Linked DNA regions of Arabidopsis thaliana. The protein of the gene in region 1 interacts with the protein of each later gene in a biochemical or structural test. Each region holds a gene or a part of one and is shown on either strand. Other genes may lie near its edges. The genes, in order: AT5G10020 and AT1G14390.

What was found.
Region 2: the proteins of AT5G10020 (region 1) and AT1G14390 form a complex in vitro, tested with the Arabidopsis thaliana proteins (one large-scale study listed by BioGRID).

The regions. Positions count from the first base shown.
Region 1 is NC_003076.8:3,131,197-3,137,842, forward strand, and holds AT5G10020 (Leucine-rich receptor-like protein kinase family protein), read left to right. Parts: upstream 1-2,047; 5' UTR 2,048-2,317; coding exon 2,318-3,248; intron 3,249-3,436; coding exon 3,437-5,074; intron 5,075-5,175; coding exon 5,176-5,753; 3' UTR 5,754-6,046; downstream 6,047-6,646. Other genes in the region: AT5G10010 (myosin-H heavy protein), read left to right, coding at 1-54, 209-256; TGA4 (TGACG motif-binding factor 4), read right to left, coding at 6,452-6,604.
Region 2 is NC_003070.9:4,921,932-4,927,453, reverse strand, and holds AT1G14390 (Leucine-rich repeat protein kinase family protein), read right to left. Parts: upstream 3,418-5,522; 5' UTR 3,178-3,417; coding exon 1,932-3,177; intron 1,856-1,931; coding exon 1,734-1,855; intron 1,655-1,733; coding exon 1,408-1,654; intron 1,328-1,407; coding exon 1,134-1,327; intron 1,038-1,133; coding exon 660-1,037; 3' UTR 540-659; downstream 1-539. Other genes in the region: UBC1 (ubiquitin carrier protein 1), read left to right, coding at 32-160.

The DNA.
Region 1 (6,646 bases):
TACAAATTCTACCCTCAGCCTTCACCAGATACACCAGACGTCTCTGGTGTCCAGGTAAAACAAAAAGCTCAAAAATCCACCTTTAATTTGTTTAAATCTGTTTCAGTCTAACAAATAGGATACTGATAAAAAAAGGGTTTTGATTATAGTTTGTTACAAAGCTCTGAGTATGTGAATGATCTGGTTTTCGCTTCTTCTGTTTTTGCAGTCCCCATTCATTAACCGATACTATGGAAAGGCTCATGAAGTCCTTTGAGATCAGATGATCAGATGTTTGAGAAGCCAGAAAGCTTTTCTTGGAAGCTTCAGCAGAAATCAAAGTTATTTTTAATCACAGGTGCTCTCAGAAACTCTTTGAGCTTTTATAGTTATTAAGCCAAGTTTGTAGGACAAAATGTCTTTTACTTTTATGAGTTTGTATTCTCCTCGGGAGTACTTGAGATCTTAGAAGAGTCACGGGAACCCAATTCTTTTTGCGGAAAATCGAGACAGCTTTTTATCTCTCTATGCTTTAAGTTTTTCTTAAATTGCAATGGCATTTCTCACATTACTTTAGACTCTAGACGATTATGCTAATTATAAGAAAAGTAAGAGTATTTTAGTGGGGGTTTTCCAACTAGTTGTCAAAGTTTCGACAATAACAAAATGGTATTATTTAGTTGGACCCAATAATATATTATATGAAAGAGAGATGGACAGACATAGACAAAATATAATAAGTTTGGCATCTTTCATTTTATGGTTAGAGAAAATGACATTCTAAAAGGAGCAAATAAATAGACTACTCAAGAGTTATAATGTTTATATATATATTTGTATTATCATTAAAATTCGCGACAAGGAGATATATATTCCAAGTGGGAATGTATAAATCAATCAGTCAAACAGTGCCATAAATCTTCAAAAAGCTTATTAACCTTAGGGTAGTCAAGTTATTTATTTATTTTTGCATGAAATGTCAATAATTTATGTTTTGTCAACTAATTATTTAAATTAAAATAGCAAATTATGGTCATATTTAGCTAATTTACACAGAATAATGTATGTGATTAGGGGAAAAAAAATAGACAGGTTGGTCCGGAAGAGTAGTAGTAATTGAGTATGACAGACCACGTTCTTCTCTTATTTAGTATCTCCGTTCCCGTTTAAGGAGTAGTACAGTGTACGGACAAAGAACTTAACGGCGTTACTTACAATATCCCCGTCACGTTGTGTTGCATGTGAGAAAAAGGGTTTGGGTGCGAATTTTCTTCATCTTCAGAAAAGAGAAAAAAAAAGAAAAGACACAGCGACTCAAAGACATGCCATTGTCCTTTCCAGTCTGTTTTTTTACTTATCTGCAAAGTGCAAACTAATCATATATTATTCCACCACTTCTCTTCCTCTCTTTTCACCTTTTAAAAAAATAATATTTATTGTTATATCCTTTTAAACAAATATTTTGGGTTGGTACTTGTACTCATATCCTGGTTTTGAATCTACCGGTTTTGGTATCATTAACTACGTCAAGTTAATTATGTTTCCTAAACTAGTATATGTAATAACAAAGATGATAAATGCTGATAAGTGATAATGACTTGACGCAATTAGTGTAACAAAATGTAATGACACATCTAACAACTCTTTTTCATTTAAAGTAGTCTTTTTTTCACGGTATGATTGATTTTAAGTAAAACCTTTGAACAATAGTCACTGGTCTTCTAAGATGGTTTCCCCAAAACACCTTTTTGAGTCCATTTTATGTGGTTTGGTTACTTATTTGAATGTCAGAGAATATTCAAAAGAGATCACACTATGGTCTATGTAAAAACATAAGTTTTTTTAACATGAGAGAAAAAAAAACTGGTAGTCAGGTTACCAAAAAAGAAAAAAGAACTAGAGAGAGTAATCACTAATCAGTAATTATAGATTCCATTAACAAAAAATTGATTCCATTAACTAGAGTAAAAGTAGGTAAAGAGAAAACTCATAATTCCTAAAATGATAAAAGTTTTTAAAATATCTGAACTTTAAATTGGAAACTAGTATTAATCTCTGATTGCATAGAAAAAAATGTCATACCATAAAGAAGTATAAGAAAACTAATATAAAAATTCGATTTTTTTTTGGAAAACCTCAAAAACACACTCTTCTCTCTCTCTTCTTCTTCTTCCCCTCTTTCAATTTTTTTCAGATTCCGAGTACAATCCCTAAATCTCCGTCTCTCTGTTTCTCTCTTCTCTCAAGTCTCAGCTATGAATCCTTACTAGGGTTTATTCTTTCTGTGTTTCTCACTCTGCATTTGCTTCTGTGGAGTAGATAGATTCTTCAGGGCTAAATGAGTCATTTTCTCACTTTCTGCTTCCTCTCACTCCTTCTCCTCCTCCACGGTGCCAACGCCGTCACCGAGACGGAGCTCCGATCTCTACTCGAGTTCCGTAAAGGGATCCGTGACGAGACCTCACACCAACGAATCTCATGGTCAGATACAAGCAGCCTCACTGATCCATCTACTTGCCCTAATGACTGGCCTGGTATCTCTTGCGACCCTGAAACCGGTTCAATCATCGCCATTAATCTCGACCGTCGTGGTCTCTCCGGCGAACTCAAATTCAGCACTCTCTCTGGTCTTACTCGTCTTCGTAACCTCTCTTTATCCGGAAACAGCTTCTCGGGTCGGGTCGTTCCTTCATTGGGTGGAATCTCGTCGCTTCAACACTTAGATCTGTCGGATAACGGTTTCTACGGACCTATACCGGGTCGGATCTCGGAGCTTTGGAGTTTGAATCATCTCAATTTGTCTTCCAACAAGTTCGAAGGTGGGTTTCCTAGTGGCTTTCGGAATCTTCAGCAGCTAAGATCTTTGGATTTGCATAAGAACGAGATTTGGGGAGATGTTGGTGAGATTTTCACTGAGCTTAAGAATGTTGAGTTCGTTGATTTGAGCTGTAACCGTTTCAACGGTGGCTTATCTTTACCAATGGAGAACATTTCCAGCATTTCCAACACTCTCCGTCACTTGAATTTGAGCCACAATGCGTTAAATGGCAAGTTTTTCAGTGAGGAGTCCATTGGTTCGTTCAAGAATCTCGAGATTGTTGACTTAGAGAATAACCAGATCAATGGTGAGTTACCGCATTTTGGATCACAGCCGAGTTTGAGAATATTGAAGCTTGCTCGTAACGAGTTGTTCGGTTTAGTACCTCAAGAGTTGTTGCAGAGTTCGATTCCTTTGCTAGAGCTAGATCTAAGTCGAAACGGTTTTACAGGTTAATTCAAATCTTACAACTTTTCTCTTCTTGCTACTTTTAGGGTATACAGGAATAGAATTATTGAACTTTATGTCATTGAGCATTGATTTGACTGGTTTCATGGTCTTGACTAGACACTTGTGTCACATTGTCTGAAGCTGTTGTATAAATGTATATTAAAGGAGTTTCTTTTGGTTCAAATGCAGGATCAATTAGTGAAATCAATTCATCAACGTTAACTATGTTGAATCTTTCTTCTAACGGCCTGTCTGGGGATCTTCCGTCGAGTTTTAAAAGTTGCTCAGTGATAGATTTGAGTGGGAATACTTTCTCTGGCGACGTGTCTGTTGTTCAAAAGTGGGAAGCTACTCCAGATGTTCTTGATCTTAGCTCAAACAACTTGTCGGGAAGCTTGCCGAACTTTACTTCTGCATTTTCAAGATTAAGTGTGTTGAGCATTAGGAATAATTCTGTCTCTGGTAGCTTGCCTTCTCTGTGGGGTGATTCTCAATTCTCTGTGATTGATCTCAGTTCAAATAAGTTCAGTGGCTTCATTCCAGTGAGTTTCTTCACTTTTGCAAGCTTGAGAAGTTTGAATCTTTCTAGGAATAACTTGGAGGGGCCAATTCCTTTTCGAGGTTCACGTGCAAGCGAACTTTTGGTTCTAAATTCTTATCCGCAGATGGAGTTACTTGACCTTTCAACCAATTCTTTGACGGGTATGCTGCCTGGGGATATAGGTACAATGGAAAAAATTAAAGTGCTGAATCTTGCCAATAATAAGCTGTCCGGGGAACTTCCAAGCGACCTCAACAAGCTTAGTGGCCTTTTGTTCCTTGACTTGTCAAACAATACTTTCAAGGGTCAAATTCCCAATAAGCTTCCTTCCCAAATGGTGGGATTCAATGTGTCGTATAACGACCTATCAGGCATAATTCCGGAAGACCTTAGAAGCTACCCGCCTTCTTCATTTTATCCTGGTAACTCCAAGCTAAGTCTCCCAGGACGGATTCCAGCGGATTCTTCTGGTGATCTGTCTTTACCTGGGAAAAAACATCATTCGAAGCTTAGCATAAGAATAGCGATTATTGTTGCTTCAGTTGGAGCTGCTATTATGATTCTTTTTGTCTTGTTTGCCTATCATCGAACACAGCTCAAGGACTTTCACGGGAGGAATAGATTTACAGACCAAGCAACGACTAGAGACACCAAGTTTGGACGCTCTTCTCGTCCCTCCTTATTCAACTTCAGCTCAAATGTTGAGCAGCAGTCATCATCTTTGAGCTTCTCAAACGATCACTTGCTCACCGCAAATTCAAGGTCGTTATCTGGGATACCCGGATGTGAAGCTGAAATATCCGAGCAGGGTGCGCCTGCTACTTCTGCTCCTACAAACCTCCTTGATGATTATCCTGCAGCATCTGGGCGCAAGTCTTCTTCAGGAGGCTCCCCACTATCCTCCTCACCCCGTTTTAGCGACCAGCCTGTGATGTTAGATGTTTACTCACCTGATAGATTGGCCGGAGAACTCTTCTTCTTAGACGTTTCACTAAAACTCACAGCAGAAGAGTTATCCCGAGCTCCTGCAGAAGTTCTAGGTAGAAGCAGCCATGGAACACTGTACAAAGCAACACTGGATAATGGACACATGTTGACGGTGAAATGGTTGAGAGTTGGCCTCGTGAGGCATAAGAAAGATTTCGCACGGGAAGCCAAAAAAATCGGCTCTTTAAAACATCCTAACATTGTTCCGTTGCGAGCATACTATTGGGGTCCCAGAGAACAAGAAAGACTTCTCCTGTCTGATTACCTGAGAGGAGAGAGCTTAGCCATGCATCTTTACGGTTAGAAGATCTTTTAATTAGTCTTTTTAGTCCTATAACTACAAGCCTTTCTGTATCTTGTTTGAAAAAAAGTTAATCACCCTGCCAAATTTTCTGTGCAGAGACTACTCCTCGGAGGTATTCTCCAATGTCCTTCAGCCAAAGACTAAAAGTTGCAGTTGAAGTGGCTCAGTGTCTTCTCTACCTTCATGATAGAGCAATGCCACACGGGAACTTGAAGCCAACTAACATAATCCTCTCAAGTCCTGACAATACCGTGCGAATAACTGATTACTGTGTTCACCGTTTGATGACTCCATCTGGTGTAGCGGAACAGATACTAAACATGAGTGCACTCGGTTACTCTGCTCCTGAACTTTCCTCGGCTTCCAAACCGATACCAACACTCAAATCCGATGTCTATGCGTTTGGTGTGATTCTCATGGAGCTTTTGACTAGACGGAGCGCAGGTGACATAATCTCAGGTCAAACAGGAGCCGTTGATCTGACCGATTGGGTGAGGTTGTGTGATCAAGAAGGAAGGAGAATGGATTGCATAGACAGAGACATAGCAGGTGGGGAAGAGTTCTCAAAGGGAATGGAGGATGCACTTGCTGTTGCAATCAGGTGCATTCTCTCTGTCAATGAAAGGCCTAACATCAGACAAGTTCTTGATCATCTTACTTCAATTTCTGCCTGAGATTTGTTTGTTTTTTTATCTCTTCTAAATTTTTCTGTAAATCTCCATGGATTTCCTTTCACACATCATCCCATTTTTTCTTCTTCTTTTCTGGTTTTATGTTTCTCTCTAGTAGTTTGATCAGATGATTCAGAATGATCCTCAGGTGTTCTTACATTTATTTTTTGTTGATTATTTTTCCCCTTCCTTGTAAAGGTAGAAGAAAATCTAATCCCATTGATTCTGACAGAAACATTTGTGTTTGCTTATTGATTCTTTTTTTTATAAATTGTTTTTTTTATCTCTTTTCGACTATATATGATTCACATTGATTTTTGTAATTTTCACTAATGTCTTTTTATTTATTCCCCTTCCCCCATTCTATTATTACATATTTTGTTAAATAATTTTACCATGGTTATAAATCAAGTTCGTAATGTCACATTAAAATCATATATACCACAAGCTTATCTATAATATTACATACAAAAAAAAAAGAACAACCATCGAAAAGTTGGTTTCTAAAAAGCTATAAACTTTACGTTGCTGATCATATGTACAACTTTCCTCAAACATTTCCTTTAGCCGCAAGACAAGATTCATCATCACACAGCAGCTTGTGTTATTGCTCTTGTTCTTGACCCAAAAATCCACTCACCAGCAAACTCCATTCTTGATTGTTAAGGTCTCAAACCTTTCTTGACATCTAAACACCTTAATTACGTTGGTTCACGTTGCCTAGCCGCCCAACTCGAACTCAAAGCTCGAAGCCTTTGGAAATACTCCCCTAATGCTAACAAACCTCTAGCCGCTTGTCGCGTGGTTAAGATCCGATGCATCTGTTGCAATGTCTCATGTCTCAGATGATCAGCCTACAACAACAAAACAGTTTAAGAACAACAACAAACTCAAGA
Region 2 (5,522 bases), on another chromosome or scaffold:
CTCTAATCCGTTTTTCCCTTTGTTATTGCAGTCCTTGCTCTGTGACCCTAATCCGAATTCTCCTGCAAACTCGGAAGCTGCTCGGATGTACAGCGAAAGCAAGCGCGAGTACAACAGGAGAGTGCGTGATGTTGTTGAGCAAAGCTGGACTGCTGACTAGTAGTAGTTTGTTGTAAGCGTTGTAGCTCTCTCTACTTTCTCTCAATCACGATTCAGCAACAGCTTTCTTCTCTTTTCATTCATGTCTTGTGTTTCCAAAACTATTTAAGTGATTCCATGCTTTGATGTAACCCAACATCCTTAAAAAAACAACTTTGTACCAAACCATCTGAATTATTCACTTTTGTGTATATATGTATTACGATTTACTTGCTAGCTACAAAAAACAACTTTGTACCCAAATTCCACAAAGTTGCGATATTTTATTTAAGGGTTTGTGGCCTTATCCTTCTGTTACACCCTTTCATTGCCTTAACAATTGCATTGCTTTCTTTGTGACGCTAATCCAATTTCTACACCAAAATCTGAAGCTTCACATGAGACTCGTAAGTACCTTAAGTATTAGTAGGTTCAACTTTATGTATTCTCATATAGGCCTTGAATTTGACATTGATCAGTTTCTCTATGTTCTTCAAGGATGGTGATTTTATATTTCTCTTCTATAGTTCTGAACCACCAAGCCCGAGGTTCTCACTGCTTGTCCATCCTTGTTGCACTTGAATTGTGTACTGCAGATTCCATACAACATCCTCTATCGATGGCCGCTTCCTCTGATCTTCACAAAGACAGTTAATGGCAAACTCTACTGTGGTTCTCAATGACTCGTATGCATATGTTCCTCTCACACACGGATCTGCCAAGCTACGCAACACCGATGGTTCGTCTCTCAAACTGTTCTCCAGCTGAAGCTTCAAGCTCCCCAACTCTGAAGATGCAGCTGCTATTACTTTGCCTGTGATGATCTGAATTAGTATCACTCCAAACTGGTACACATCTTCTTTCTCTCCATCTTCATTACTAGGGCTCTCCGCTCCAACCTGAAATTCCCCCAGAAGGTTATATATTTCATGAGAGGTTAAACTGAAGATTAGAAGCTATATCCTGATTATATTATATCTGGTTTGTTTATATACCTTGGATGGTAAAGGAATACTATAACCACTGAGTTTTACAGTGAGTGTTTCATCAAGTAAAACATTCTCTATTTCCAAATTGTTCCCAAATATTCCTGGTGCCACTCCTGTGTGCAAGAACTGTATTCCTCGAGCAACTCCAATCGCTATCGACATTCTCTGAGGCCATTTCAACACCTCTTTCTTTCTCCAATCTGCCAAAAACATTTCCAAATAATTAGTTTCCCAACAAAAATATAAGTTCTTGAAATCGATAATCTTTTTCAAGTATTACCGGTGAGGTAATCCCTCAAAGACCCGTTAGAGATATATTCTTGGACAATGAAAATAGTGCTTCCGGCATAAGGATGATGATCTTGATAAGTACCAATGCAGTGTCCAAGAACACTGACCAAATGCATATGCCTTAGCTTTGATAAAACTTCCATTTGTTGAGCTAAATTCTGTGTTGAATTCTTCTGTTTCAGCTTAATACACCTCACTGTCACTGCTATGCCTTCTCTAAGACAACCTTTGTACAGCTGTTTTGAAATTAGATATATCGATTAGTTAGACACTCGGATCAATTTTAAATCATGTCTTATTTACATTTTCCTTTACCTGTTCTCCACAGAGATTCTCTGCATCAAAATTGTTGGTTGCTTCTTCCAGTTCCTCCAAAGAGAAAACTCGGTATGGTGATAGTCCAATCACCGCGGATCTCATGGTTTGCGGTACACGTCCTGCATTTGAAAAAATCAAGCTAGTTAGGTTAATGGGTGTGAAAACTTGATTCAAGATTTCAAAGTAATAGCCTACTTAGATCTGGTACTGTCTTTGATGTGGTGGACCTGGTGGTGTTGCTGCAAACAGTGACCTGATCGACGTTGTTTGCTTCCAAAGGCTCTTCTTTTGATCTTGATTTTCTCATCCTAACCAAAACCAAGCCAGCTAAAACCGCTGAAACGAGGATCACACCGATGATAATGCCAATCACCAATCCAAGTTCGATTCCTGTATCTTCTTCTTTCCTTTCTTTATCTTTAGTGTCAGACTTCACAGCAGCTACTGCTTGCTTTGCTTCGTTTTCACAGAAGGTAACTGGACGCTGATACTTTGCAGAAGGAGAACCATTTATAGACAAGCAATTGAATGTGAAGAGCAGTACTGTCTGTTTCTTGGAAGAGAAGCAAGATGGAAGCTTCCCAGTCAGAAGATTCCGAGAAACATCTAAAATTCTAAGCTTGGAGTTGCACAACGATGAATTTGGAAGTGATCCACTCAGCAAGTTTTGTGCTAAACTTAGATTCTGAAGCGAAGGAAGCGAAAGCAGGAATCTTGGGATTGAGCCAGTGAACTTGTTGGAGGAAAGATCTAAGCTCTGAAGCTTATTCAGCTTCTTGATCTGTTCTGGAATCTTTGATCCAAAAGAGTTGTTCTTCAATGAAATAGTAATCAAGTTACTTGCAAGTGAAGGAACAACTTCAGGACCGAGTTTATTACCGCCTAAATTCAGCTCTTGAAGATTCGACAATCCTCTGAGATCAGGAACACTTCCGTTAAACAAATTGTTCGCTAGAACAAGACTTCTCAGATTCTTCAACGACGAGATCTCTTTAGGAATATTCCCAGAGATGAAATTAGAACTGAGATTCAGAGATTGAAGAGATGAAGATAACCTGATGATCTGTGAAGGGAGAGGACCAGAGATGCCAAGAGAGACCAGAGACAATGTCTTTAAGTTTGAGAGTTTTGTAAGAACAGTGAATAGTGAGTCGCTTGAGAATCTTCCGGGGAGCTTAACGGTTCTGTTCCCCGTGACGGTTAATTCAGTTACATGACCATTGAAACAGAGGATTTTGAAAGAAGGAGAAGAAGGGAGGTAGCAGAAATTGGTCCAGTTGCTCCATGATCGAAGAGTTGGTGGATATTGTAAATGCTTTTGGATTTCTAATAGAGTTCTTGATTCACTTGATATTAGCTGTGATTCTGAGACTGATGGCAGAAGAAAAAGAAAGAGAAGAAAAGTGAGAGAAAAGGCCTGGCTTTTAGAGGAACTATGCATTCTCTCAGGAAGAATTACAGAGAAATTAGAAAGAAAGATGTTATTGTGGCTTAAGGAACAGAAGGTCTTTCTGTTATTGTAGCCGAGATTAGTGTTAGTATTTGTTTAGTAGTCTAAAAAAATGGTGTTTTGTACATAAATTCTAGAGATTTTTTTAGATCGGAAGCAGATTTTCTAGGGAAATTGGGAGATAAAAAAATGAAACAATGTTTTTGGGACAGAGCAAGAAACAAAATTAAGTGGAGAGAAGTTCTGCTGAGAAGAAGACAATAAATACAAATTTTGTTTAATTTTTGTTTCTTATGTTGATTGTTCATAAGTTTCACATTGACAGACTGTTTTACTGCTTCGAAGAAAGTGAATGAAATTTTTTAAAAGCATAAAATGAATTAGATCCTTAAAATACGTAAAATCCACATGAAATATCTGACTATTTATCTACTTTTGATCTAAAATTTCCACAATTTAGAGTTATTTATTTACTTCAACTGGTTCTTAATTAATTTCTCTGTTATGGTCAGAAGACCTTTCTTTATTACTCATATAACATGCATTTATTTGATACATAATACATGCATAAACATACAAATACATACATGTTTGACGAATAAATGTTGTGTAGTAGTACTTCTCTCGAAATCCGTTGATCTCTTCCCCAAGGTAAATTCTTTCATCTTTACCAATTTTTTAAAAAATATAAATGAATAAACTTACGAATAAATGTTTGTAGTTTCTTTTATAACATTTTAACTCCTGTAATATCAATACTACTTGTAAAATAACAAAAAATACATACTTAATTAATGAGCAACGTTGCATTAATTGTTAATGCATAGAGATTTGATAGATATATAGCGACCAGACAGTATGTAATAAAAGTCAACCAGACCAGTGAACGAGTTTTTTTACACGTGCTCTTTCGTCAATGTAAATATGTAATGATCAGATCGTGCCGTTAAGGATCATCCAAAGCCACCGTCGCAAGGAAAATCTAACCCCGTTCGTTGGATTAAAAGCTCAAATAAAGAATTACATGTCCTAACCAAATCTTTTTCTCGAACTACACTTTTAACCACTTGTTGTTTTTCTCGAAACCAGAAGGACACCAAATGATCATCTATATACAGTAAACCAACAAATGATATAAATCGTACTTCTTTTTTCTCGTGGTCATCAATCAACAATTCAATATCAAACTGTTACAAAAAATACCAATCTCAAACTAATAATACTACCAATTAGTTCGGCCATGATATATTTTCATCACTATTGTCGGTGAGAAATGAGTGTCATTTTGTTTTCGTGTGTTTGGAAAGTGTTGAGATTCTAACAAATGTTCAGCTGTTTTCTTTTTGGTGTGTGAATTGTGATGAACTGTCCATTACTTTCTCTTTTGTTCCTTTATTCTTTTTACATCGATCTCTCATTGTTCTTTACTTCTTTTTAAGTGGCCTGACGTGCGATCCTAATAAAAAGAAGGTTGGTTATATACAATTTTTGACAAAAACCAAAAAAGTTTTGTTGTATAAGAGGAATTATAGAAACCATGCATCACCAACACCAAGTAGTAAAAAGTTTCATCCCAAAACAAGTGACCGTCATCGTAGTAAGTTAAAAAAATGGCTGAAAACAAAAGTTTTCAAGTTCAAAATACAAGGTTTTATCAGAAGCACTCAAAACCAATATTTTGTCACAGCTTCCAAGTTTCCAAGTAATCATGATGAAAAAATATACTATTTTCTAAAAACAAAAAGGTAAGGGAAGATAAAATGCGAGTTTGCAAGCACATCACATGCAACTGCCTTTGTAATAAGCGACACTGCCAAAGTATCAATTAATATTATACAACATGCATTTCTTTTCAATTTTATATGCAGCTTTATTATTAAAATCCTTTGTCAGATAACTTACAAACTGTTATTTTTTGGGCTTATAGGCTTATTAAAGGTTAGAATTTAAACCCATATATGTATCCAACTAATTTAAGGCCCAAAATATGCATCTTTAGGTCCATATAAATTAGGCATGTTCAAAATAAATTACCCAAATTATATAGCATATAGTTGAATAAATTCAGAAAAAAAAAAATATCATAAAGTTTACACTGTAGTTTAGTTGTGACATAAAATTTGCTAATGTAAAGTTATCCACAAAAAAAATTCAAACATTTTAAGATATTCATTTCTTAAAACCAGGATTCAACTTCGAACAGAATCAAATCTAAACTTTATTATAGTGATAATTTAATCATGTTTCTTTCACATTCGTTTATGAAACGTCAAAAAATATCTAGTTAGAATACAATACATTCCTATCATGAGCTGGTTAGTGGTTACGATTTAAAT